Linked DNA regions of Macaca mulatta. The protein of the gene in region 1 interacts with the protein of each later gene in a biochemical or structural test. Links are inferred from orthologs where the notes say so. Each region holds a gene or a part of one and is shown in the gene's direction. Other genes may lie near its edges.

What was found. The genes of interacting proteins can lie anywhere in the genome.
Region 2: the proteins of SNTA1 (region 1) and KCNA5 interact in a test that uses a peptide from one of them, tested with the Homo sapiens proteins (2 studies listed by BioGRID and IntAct). The link is inferred for Macaca mulatta from reciprocal best matches to the Homo sapiens genes SNTA1 and KCNA5.

What each region holds. Positions count from the first base shown.
Region 1 is NC_133415.1:86,163,901-86,167,087, reverse strand, and holds the end of SNTA1 (alpha-1-syntrophin), read left to right. Parts: intron 1-1,175; coding exon 1,176-1,363; intron 1,364-1,464; coding exon 1,465-1,557; 3' UTR 1,558-2,107; downstream 2,108-3,187. UniProt on the Homo sapiens protein: Adapter protein that binds to and probably organizes the subcellular localization of a variety of membrane proteins. May link various receptors to the actin cytoskeleton and the extracellular matrix via the dystrophin glycoprotein complex.
Region 2 is NC_133416.1:5,946,864-5,951,692, forward strand, and holds the start of KCNA5 (potassium voltage-gated channel subfamily A member 5), read left to right. Parts: upstream 1-1,637; 5' UTR 1,638-3,333; coding exon 3,334-4,829. UniProt on the Homo sapiens protein: Voltage-gated potassium channel that mediates transmembrane potassium transport in excitable membranes. Forms tetrameric potassium-selective channels through which potassium ions pass in accordance with their electrochemical gradient.

The sequences.
Region 1 (3,187 bases):
TTAGGGCACTTCAGGAGGGGACAGAAAATGGGGTTTGGAGGTTAAGGTGGGTGGATCACCTGAGGTCAGAAGTTTGAGACCAGCCTGGCCAACATGGCAAAACCCCATCTCTACTAATAATACAAAAATTGGCTGGGTGTGGTGCCTCATGCCTGTAATCCCAACATTTTGCGAGGATGAGGCAGGTGGATCACTTGAGGTCAGCAGTTGAAGACCAGCCTGGCCAAAATGGTGAAACCCTGTCTCTACTAAAAATACAAAAATTAGCCAGGTGTGGTGGCGGGTGCCCGTAGTCCCAGCTACTCAGGAGGCTGAGGCAGAAGAATTGCTTGAATCTGGGAGGCGGAGGTTGTAGTGGTCCCAGATTGCACCACTGCACTCCAGCCTGGGCAACAGAGCAAGACTCTGTCTCAAAAAAAAAAATAATAATAATAATAATACAAAAATTAGCTGGGCATGGTAGTAGGTGCCTGTAGTCCCAGCTATGCAGGAAGCTGAGGAACAAGAATCGCTTGAACCCGGGAGGTGGAGGTTGTGGTGAGCTGAGATTGTGCCCGCTGCACTCCAGCCTGGGTAACAGAGTGAGACTGTTTCTCCAAAAAAAAAAAAAAAAAGGAAGTTGGGTTTGGGCCCTCTGTTTTGGATGTGCAGGTGCCCTGGCAGGCAGAGACTCTTCTCCCTGGGGTTTTCTTGCTCCAGCTTTGTCAATCTGCTGGTGAGGATGTGAGAGATGGCACTTGGGGTAGGGTTGCCAGAGGAAATACAGGACACCCAGCCTCATTTGAATTTCAGGTTAACAATGAATACTTTTTTCATAGAAGTATGCCCAAATTAGTCATTGTTTATCTGAAATTTAAATTTAGCTGGGCAACTCTGCAGGTCTCCAAGGGCGGTGCTTGGTCGATCTGATGATGCCTTTATCAGGAGTGAGCCTCCAGTCCATGGCAGATTTTAAGCTCCCCCTTTCTACTTGTGGACTGGAAGTGGGTGTAGGTCCTCTGAGGGTGGGGGTGATGACTCTCTGCAGGGTGGGTGTACAGGTGCCACGACAAACAGTGAGCCTCCCGTCCCTGGAGGCATTCAGGCCCCACTTTGTAAGCTGCGGTGGGGGTTGGAGGTTGGGGTGTAGTGTCTGAGGTGCCAGCTGTGCCTGTACCTATGTGCCCTCCCTGCAGCCTGCACATGGAACGGGCGTCCCTGCAGCCTGTCTGTGCACATCGACAAGGGCTTCACACTGTGGGCGGCTGAGCCAGGTGCAGCCCGAGCTGTGCTCCTGCGACAGCCCTTTGAGAAGCTGCAGATGTCTTCAGATGATGGTGCCAGTCTCCTTTTCCTGGACTTTGGAGGTGCTGAAGGCGAGATCGTGAGTGAGGGGCTGCCTTTGCACCCTGGGGAGGAGGGGGTATGCACTCTTGGAGGCCAGGCTGGCCAGGGCCCTGACTCTTCTCTCCATCCACCCTGCAGCAGCTGGACCTGCACTCGTGTCCCAAAACCATAGTCTTCATCATCCACTCCTTCCTCTCGGCCAAAGTCACCCGCCTTGGGCTATTGGCCTAGAAGTCACCGGATGCGCTAGCCCTGAAGAGGGGTATCCATGACATGGCCTGAGCTGGGCCTCCACCGACTGCCTGCTCACCCCTGGGCTGAGGGAAGGGAGAGGAGAGGAACAAGGGCCTCTGAGACCCCACCCCTGAGGGAGACTGGATTGGTCTTGGGGCCCGGGGCCCAGGACCCAGACCCAGGACAGAGTGGACTCTGCCTGTGATGGGGTGGCCCTCCTGCTGCCCCCCACCACCAGTGCCTTTTGCGGAGAGATATTTTGTGTACACAGAAGCCATTCCGAGTCTGGGACCTGCCCCTGTGCGGATCCTGACCCCAGCCAACAGCTGAGCTGCCAGGCCTCCTCGAGGCCCCTAAGCCACCCCTAGAGGTCCCATCTGAAGCTGGAGTCCCCTGGGGTCAGCGGCAAGAGAAACAAGAGGAGACTTTGTTTGTTTTTCCCCTCAGCCCTGCCACCTTGGGGAGTCTGGTTTTTCTCTTCATCCTCTCTCTCCTCCTTACTCTTGGATAAATAAACAGCCTGTGAGACACAGGCAGCCTGGCCCAGTGTCTGTGGTCTGTGCCTTGGCCTTTGGGTCCTGGGGTGGCCCCTGCAGTCCCAAGATGGACCAGACCAAGGACTGGGGCACCTTTCCCTGGAGAAGAACAGACTTTTACCACATGGGCCAAAGAGAGTGTATTGGTTATCTATTGTTGTGTGACAAATTACCCCACATTTTTACAGCTTAAAATGACAAATATTCATTATCTCTTAGGTTCTGTGGGTCAGGGATTTGAGAGGGGCTAAGCTGGGCTGTTCTTGTCTCAGGGTCGTTCATGAGGTTGCAGTCAAATTGTCAGCTAGGGCTGCAGTCATCTGAAGGCTTGACTGGGGCTGGAGGATCCATTCCAATACTGCTCATGCACATGGCTGTGGGTAGGAGGTCTCCGTTCCTCACCATGTAGGGCTAACCCTAGAGCTGCTGCTTGAGTTTTCTCATGATATGGCAGTTGGCTTTCCCCACAATGAGACAGAAGAGAGAGCAAAGAGGAAGCCACAAACAGTGCCTCTTACGACCCAGTCTTGGAAGCCATACACTGTTGCTTCTGCTTTGTTCTATTTGTTAGAAGTGAGTCACTAAGTTCAGTCCACACTCAAGGGGAGGGGAATTAGGCTCCACTTCTTGAAGAAAGGAATGCCAAATAATTTGTGGATCCATTTTAAAGCCATCTTAGAGAGCTTCAGGACCCTTTCCTGCAGAAGGGAGGTGGAGTGGAATGTGTTTGGTGCTTCGGAAACTGCGATGTGCTGACTGGATGTGAGTGGGTGGTGGTTATGACTCCCTACTAAAATCACGACGACAACAGCAATGATGAATTTTTTTTTTTTTTTTTTTTTTTTTTTTTGAGATGGGGTCTTGCTCTGTCACCCAGGTGGGAGTGCAGTGGTGTGTTCTCAGCTCACTGCAACCTCCACCTCCCGGTTCAAGCGATTCTCCTGCCTCAGCTTCCCGAGTAGCTGGGATTACAGGTGCCCACCACTGCCCACCACCATGCCCCACTACTGTTTTGTAGTTTTAGTAAAGATGGGGTTTCACCATGTTGGCCAGGCTGGTTTTAAACTCCTGACCTCAAGTGATCCTCCTGC
Region 2 (4,829 bases), on another chromosome or scaffold:
ACCTACCTATCACTTATAAATTGATAAATAGGTAACTAGAGAGTAGCTAGCTAGAAAGGTAGGTAGGTAAATAGACAGATAGATTGATGGATAGATATATATACTGTGGTAGATACCATTCGTAGACACAATAGCTAGATAGCTAGATACATACATACATACATACATACATACATACATACATACATACATAGAGATAAAAATCTATTCTTATGGGAATGTGATCTCTAGACAGGTGCATCAGTATCACTTGGGTGCTGTGTGAAATGCACTCTAAGCCCTACCCTGGTTCAGAGTCTGCATGTTAACAAAATCCTCAGGTAATGGTGCACATTAAGCACTGCTATAAAAGAGTTAACCTCGTAGGATTAGATAGACAGTATAGAAGGCAGCTTTCAGTTATATAATGAGTGCTCTGGGAAGAAGACAAAGATTGAGTTAGGAGTATAAGAGGTTTACTGGGAGATAATAAAGAAAGATAAAAGTGATAGGAAGAAGAGTTCATTAGGGAAAACATTCAGATTATGATGCTGATCTGGCACTTGTGAAAGGAAAGAGGGGAGGAAGAGGGGTTGGACAGAGAGAGTCTCAGAGTGCAATGCAGATCTTTCAAAGTCTTGGCCAATCTGTTGGGGAAATGCAGAGCAAAGATTGCCCATTAGTGGAAATCTGCACTGGGTAGAAATGGTCTTTGTAACCCTGCTGTGCTCAGAGAGCTACCCTGAAGGAGTTTGGCCCCTGCACTAAAGCTGAGGCAGAGCCAGAAAGTGACAACAGCTGGAGGCGGTCAGCTAACTGCACTCTGGCAGTTGAAAAGCAAGTTCTTTCTTTAAGGGAGACTTGAGCAGTATACCTCCATGGCTACCACATGTGGCATCTGAAGGTAATTTTGCAAGAAACCTATAAGAACTGGCAAATGCATGGGAAACAGATTTAAGGAAATACCACATTAAAGGAGGCCTGGGTTTTGTGCTTTTCCTGGACTGTTTATGTTGTACTCTTATTCTTCAGGGAACAATCTCCCAGAAAGCCCCTGAAAGACAAGCTCCAGAGAACTCTTTCCTCTGGGGAGCCCGAGGAGAACCCATGTGAACGAATATGGCATCCTTATACTTACAAGATGCATCAATCAGTAGACAAGCTCAGTAAGTCCCAGCCTCCCCAGGAAAATACCTGATCCTAACTGGCAATCTCAGAGCCAGAGAAGAAAAAAAGCCCACTGGAGATGAAGCAGGGATAGCATAGATATGGGGAAAGGGAATGCAAGGCCCTGTGGTTCAACAGTGATGCCTTCACATACTGATTTTCATATTCATGCCCTTCCTCACTCATGCACATCTGCAAAGACAGCCAACAATATGCACAGTCACACACAATGAAAATACGTACACCAAATTCACATCCATTTTCACGTATAAACTCTTAAAAAGCCATATGTACACACACTTCTCAAACCTTGACCCAAGTTTGTATGTCTATGCCCTGCTATTGCAACACACACTCATGCACCCAGGACCAAGTTTCCAAATCACACCCTGTGGATAGAGACATTCATTGACAAGAGGTCCTAACTTCACGCATATAAATCTGAAACAATATACAGAAATAAAAATAGACAATGAAAACAGACATTCAAAAACACAGCCACTTTATGATAATTTAAAACCAAGAAACTTCTGGAGACTATGTCTGGCAGTTCCAGGCACACACCTTGAAACAGATTTCTCTTGGTTACCAATGCCTGCTAAAACCGTGTAGCGGTAGACACAGGGCAGGGGAAGATTCTCTAGTGTCCCAACCTAGAAAGATTAATATGTTATATCAGCCATCCTCCTGCCTCCTGCAGCAGGGAACTAAAGTTCTCAGGCCAGATGTTGGAGTGAGGGAGTGCTTGTATCAGGAAAAGGGATTATGCATTTCTATAGAGAAGTGAAATACAGGGGACAAGGGCCAAACTCTGATTGTCTGAGTTTGAGTTCCAGCATCATCACTTTCTACTGTGTGAGCCTGGGTGAGTCTGTCAATCTCTCTGTGCCTCAGTTTCTTCGTTTGTAAAATGGTGATGATAACAGTACTTACAAAACAGGTTGCTGTAGGAATACGCAGAGACAATATTTGTGAAGTGCTGAGAATGGGCTGGTGCATAATAACAGCGAAGTAAGTATTGGTTGTTATTATTCCACTCTTGGGATTTCTCCAGCCTTGGAGATTGGACAGCCTCCCTGGCTCCCTCTCATAAGCCACCTCCACCCTCTGCCTCCTTCATGGACCTAGATGCAGTTGTTAGCTCCAAGATTCACCAGACAGGATTAGCCTTCACTAGGATTGTAAAAATCTCTTCTCCTCTCCCCTGGTGTGGTTTTCGCAAATGGGATTCGTTGGAGAGGGTGCAGGGGTTCTGCTGGGTTGAGACCAGACAGCCCATCTACTGACTAGGCTGCTTGCCTGGGCTGCCACTGGGTCCATACTGGAAACAGGCTAGGGCATGCGAATCCTGCAAGTTTCCAACCCTCTAGTACATTTTTGTGGATCTGCAGGAAGACGAGAAGAGAGATGCTTCTCCATTGATATATGTATTTCAAGGTCCGAAACTACGTGGGCCCCCTCCCTTCTGTAATTCTTCCCAAAGAAATACCGTTATTTCTCCAAAATAAAAAGGACTGGTGTCTCCTGTCTCTGTCTCTCATACTCCGACTCAGCTCAAAGCCTCTTCCCTTTAGCCCAAGGCACTTCGTTCCCCCTGGAGTCCACTCGGCTTCCAGCGGGTTCCCAGGTGAACCGAAATCCAGAGCTATTCTCATCTGGTTGCCCTGGGAATTTCAGCGCTCTCGGTACAACCTGTTCCTCCATCCTCCCCACTCCTTCCCTCCCTCCGCTGGGCTGCACCCCTCTCAGCCCCTCCTTTCCCTTGCTAGGGGCACCAGCTGCGCCCTTCGGGGAGACACTGGCTGCCACAAGACCCGGGAGGCGAAGCGGGAGGAGGGGGAGGGGAAGCAGGAGGAGGGGGAAGGGAGAGGGGAAGGCGGGGGAGGCGCCGAGGGTGGAGGCCAAGCGCAGCGCAGCCAGAGAGGGACGGCTGAAGGTTGCATCTGCTGGAAGGAGGCTTTTCGGCTGCTTGGTAACGGGCTGCCAGAAGAGAGAGAGGCAGAGAGCAGGGCAGCGGCTTCTTGACGTCAGGGCCAAGCGAGGGGATCGCGCCAGCAACCCCAGCTCGCCCCAGAGAGGGGCCGGCCGACCGCGGGAGCGGAGCCTGACGGGAGGTGCCCGGGGAGCGTGAGTAGGGGGCGCGGGAGCAGGTCAGCTGGGGCGCAGCATGCCCGCTGCTCCCGCGCCATGGAGATCGCCCTGGTGCCCCTGGAGAACGGCGGTGCCATGACCGTCAGAGGAGGCGATGAGGCCCGGGCAGGCTGCGGCCAGGCCACAGGGGGAGAGCTCCAGTGTCCCCCGACGGCTGGGCTCAGCGATGGGCCCAAGGAGCCGGCGCCAAAGGGGCGCGGCGCGCAGAGAGACGCGGACCCGGGAGTGCGGCCCTTGCCTCCGCTGCCCAAGGAGCTGCCACAGCCTCGACGGCCGCCTCCCGAGGACGAGGAGGAAGAAGGCGACCCCGGCCTGGGCACGGTGGAGGACCAGGCTCTGGGCACGGCGTCCCTGCACCACCAGCGCGTCCACATCAACATCTCCGGGCTGCGCTTCGAGACGCAGCTGGGCACCCTGGCGCAGTTCCCCAACACCCTCCTGGGCGACCCCGCCAAGCGCCTGCGCTACTTCGACCCCCTGAGGAACGAGTACTTCTTCGACCGCAACCGGCCCAGCTTCGACGGTATCCTCTACTACTACCAGTCGGGGGGCCGCCTGCGGAGGCCGGTCAACGTCTCCCTGGACGTGTTCGCGGACGAGATCCGCTTCTACCAGCTGGGGGACGAGGCCATGGAGCGCTTCCGCGAGGATGAGGGTTTCATTAAAGAAGAGGAGAAGCCCCTGCCCCGCAACGAGTTCCAGCGCCAGGTGTGGCTTATCTTCGAGTATCCGGAGAGCTCTGGGTCCGCGCGGGCCATCGCCATCGTCTCGGTCTTGGTCATCCTCATCTCCATCATCACCTTCTGCTTGGAGACCCTGCCCGAGTTCAGGGATGAACGCGAGCTGCTCCGCCACCCCCCAGCGCCCCACCAGCCTCCCGCGCCCGCCCCTGGGACCAACGGCAGCGGGGTCATGGCCCCGCCCTCTGGCCCTACGGTGGCACCGCTCCTGCCCAGGACCCTGGCCGACCCCTTCTTCATCGTGGAGACCACGTGCGTCATCTGGTTCACCTTCGAGCTGCTCGTGCGCTTCTTCGCCTGCCCCAGCAAGGCAGGGTTCTCCCGGAACATCATGAACATCATCGATGTGGTGGCCATCTTCCCTTACTTCATCACCCTGGGCACCGAGCTGGCAGAGCAACAGCCAGGGGGCGGAGGAGGCAGCCAGAATGGGCAGCAGGCCATGTCCCTGGCCATCCTCAGAGTCATCCGCCTGGTCCGGGTGTTCCGCATCTTCAAGCTCTCCCGCCACTCCAAGGGGCTGCAGATCCTGGGCAAGACCTTGCAGGCCTCCATGAGGGAGCTGGGGTTGCTCATCTTCTTCCTGTTCATCGGGGTCATCCTCTTCTCCAGTGCCGTCTACTTCGCAGAGGCTGACAACCAGGGGACCCATTTCTCTAGCATCCCTGATGCCTTCTGGTGGGCAGTGGTCACCATGACCACTGTGGGCTACGGGGACATGAGGCCCATCACCGTGGGGGGCAAGATCGTGGGCTCGCTGTGTGCCATCGCCGGGGTCCTCACCATTGCCCT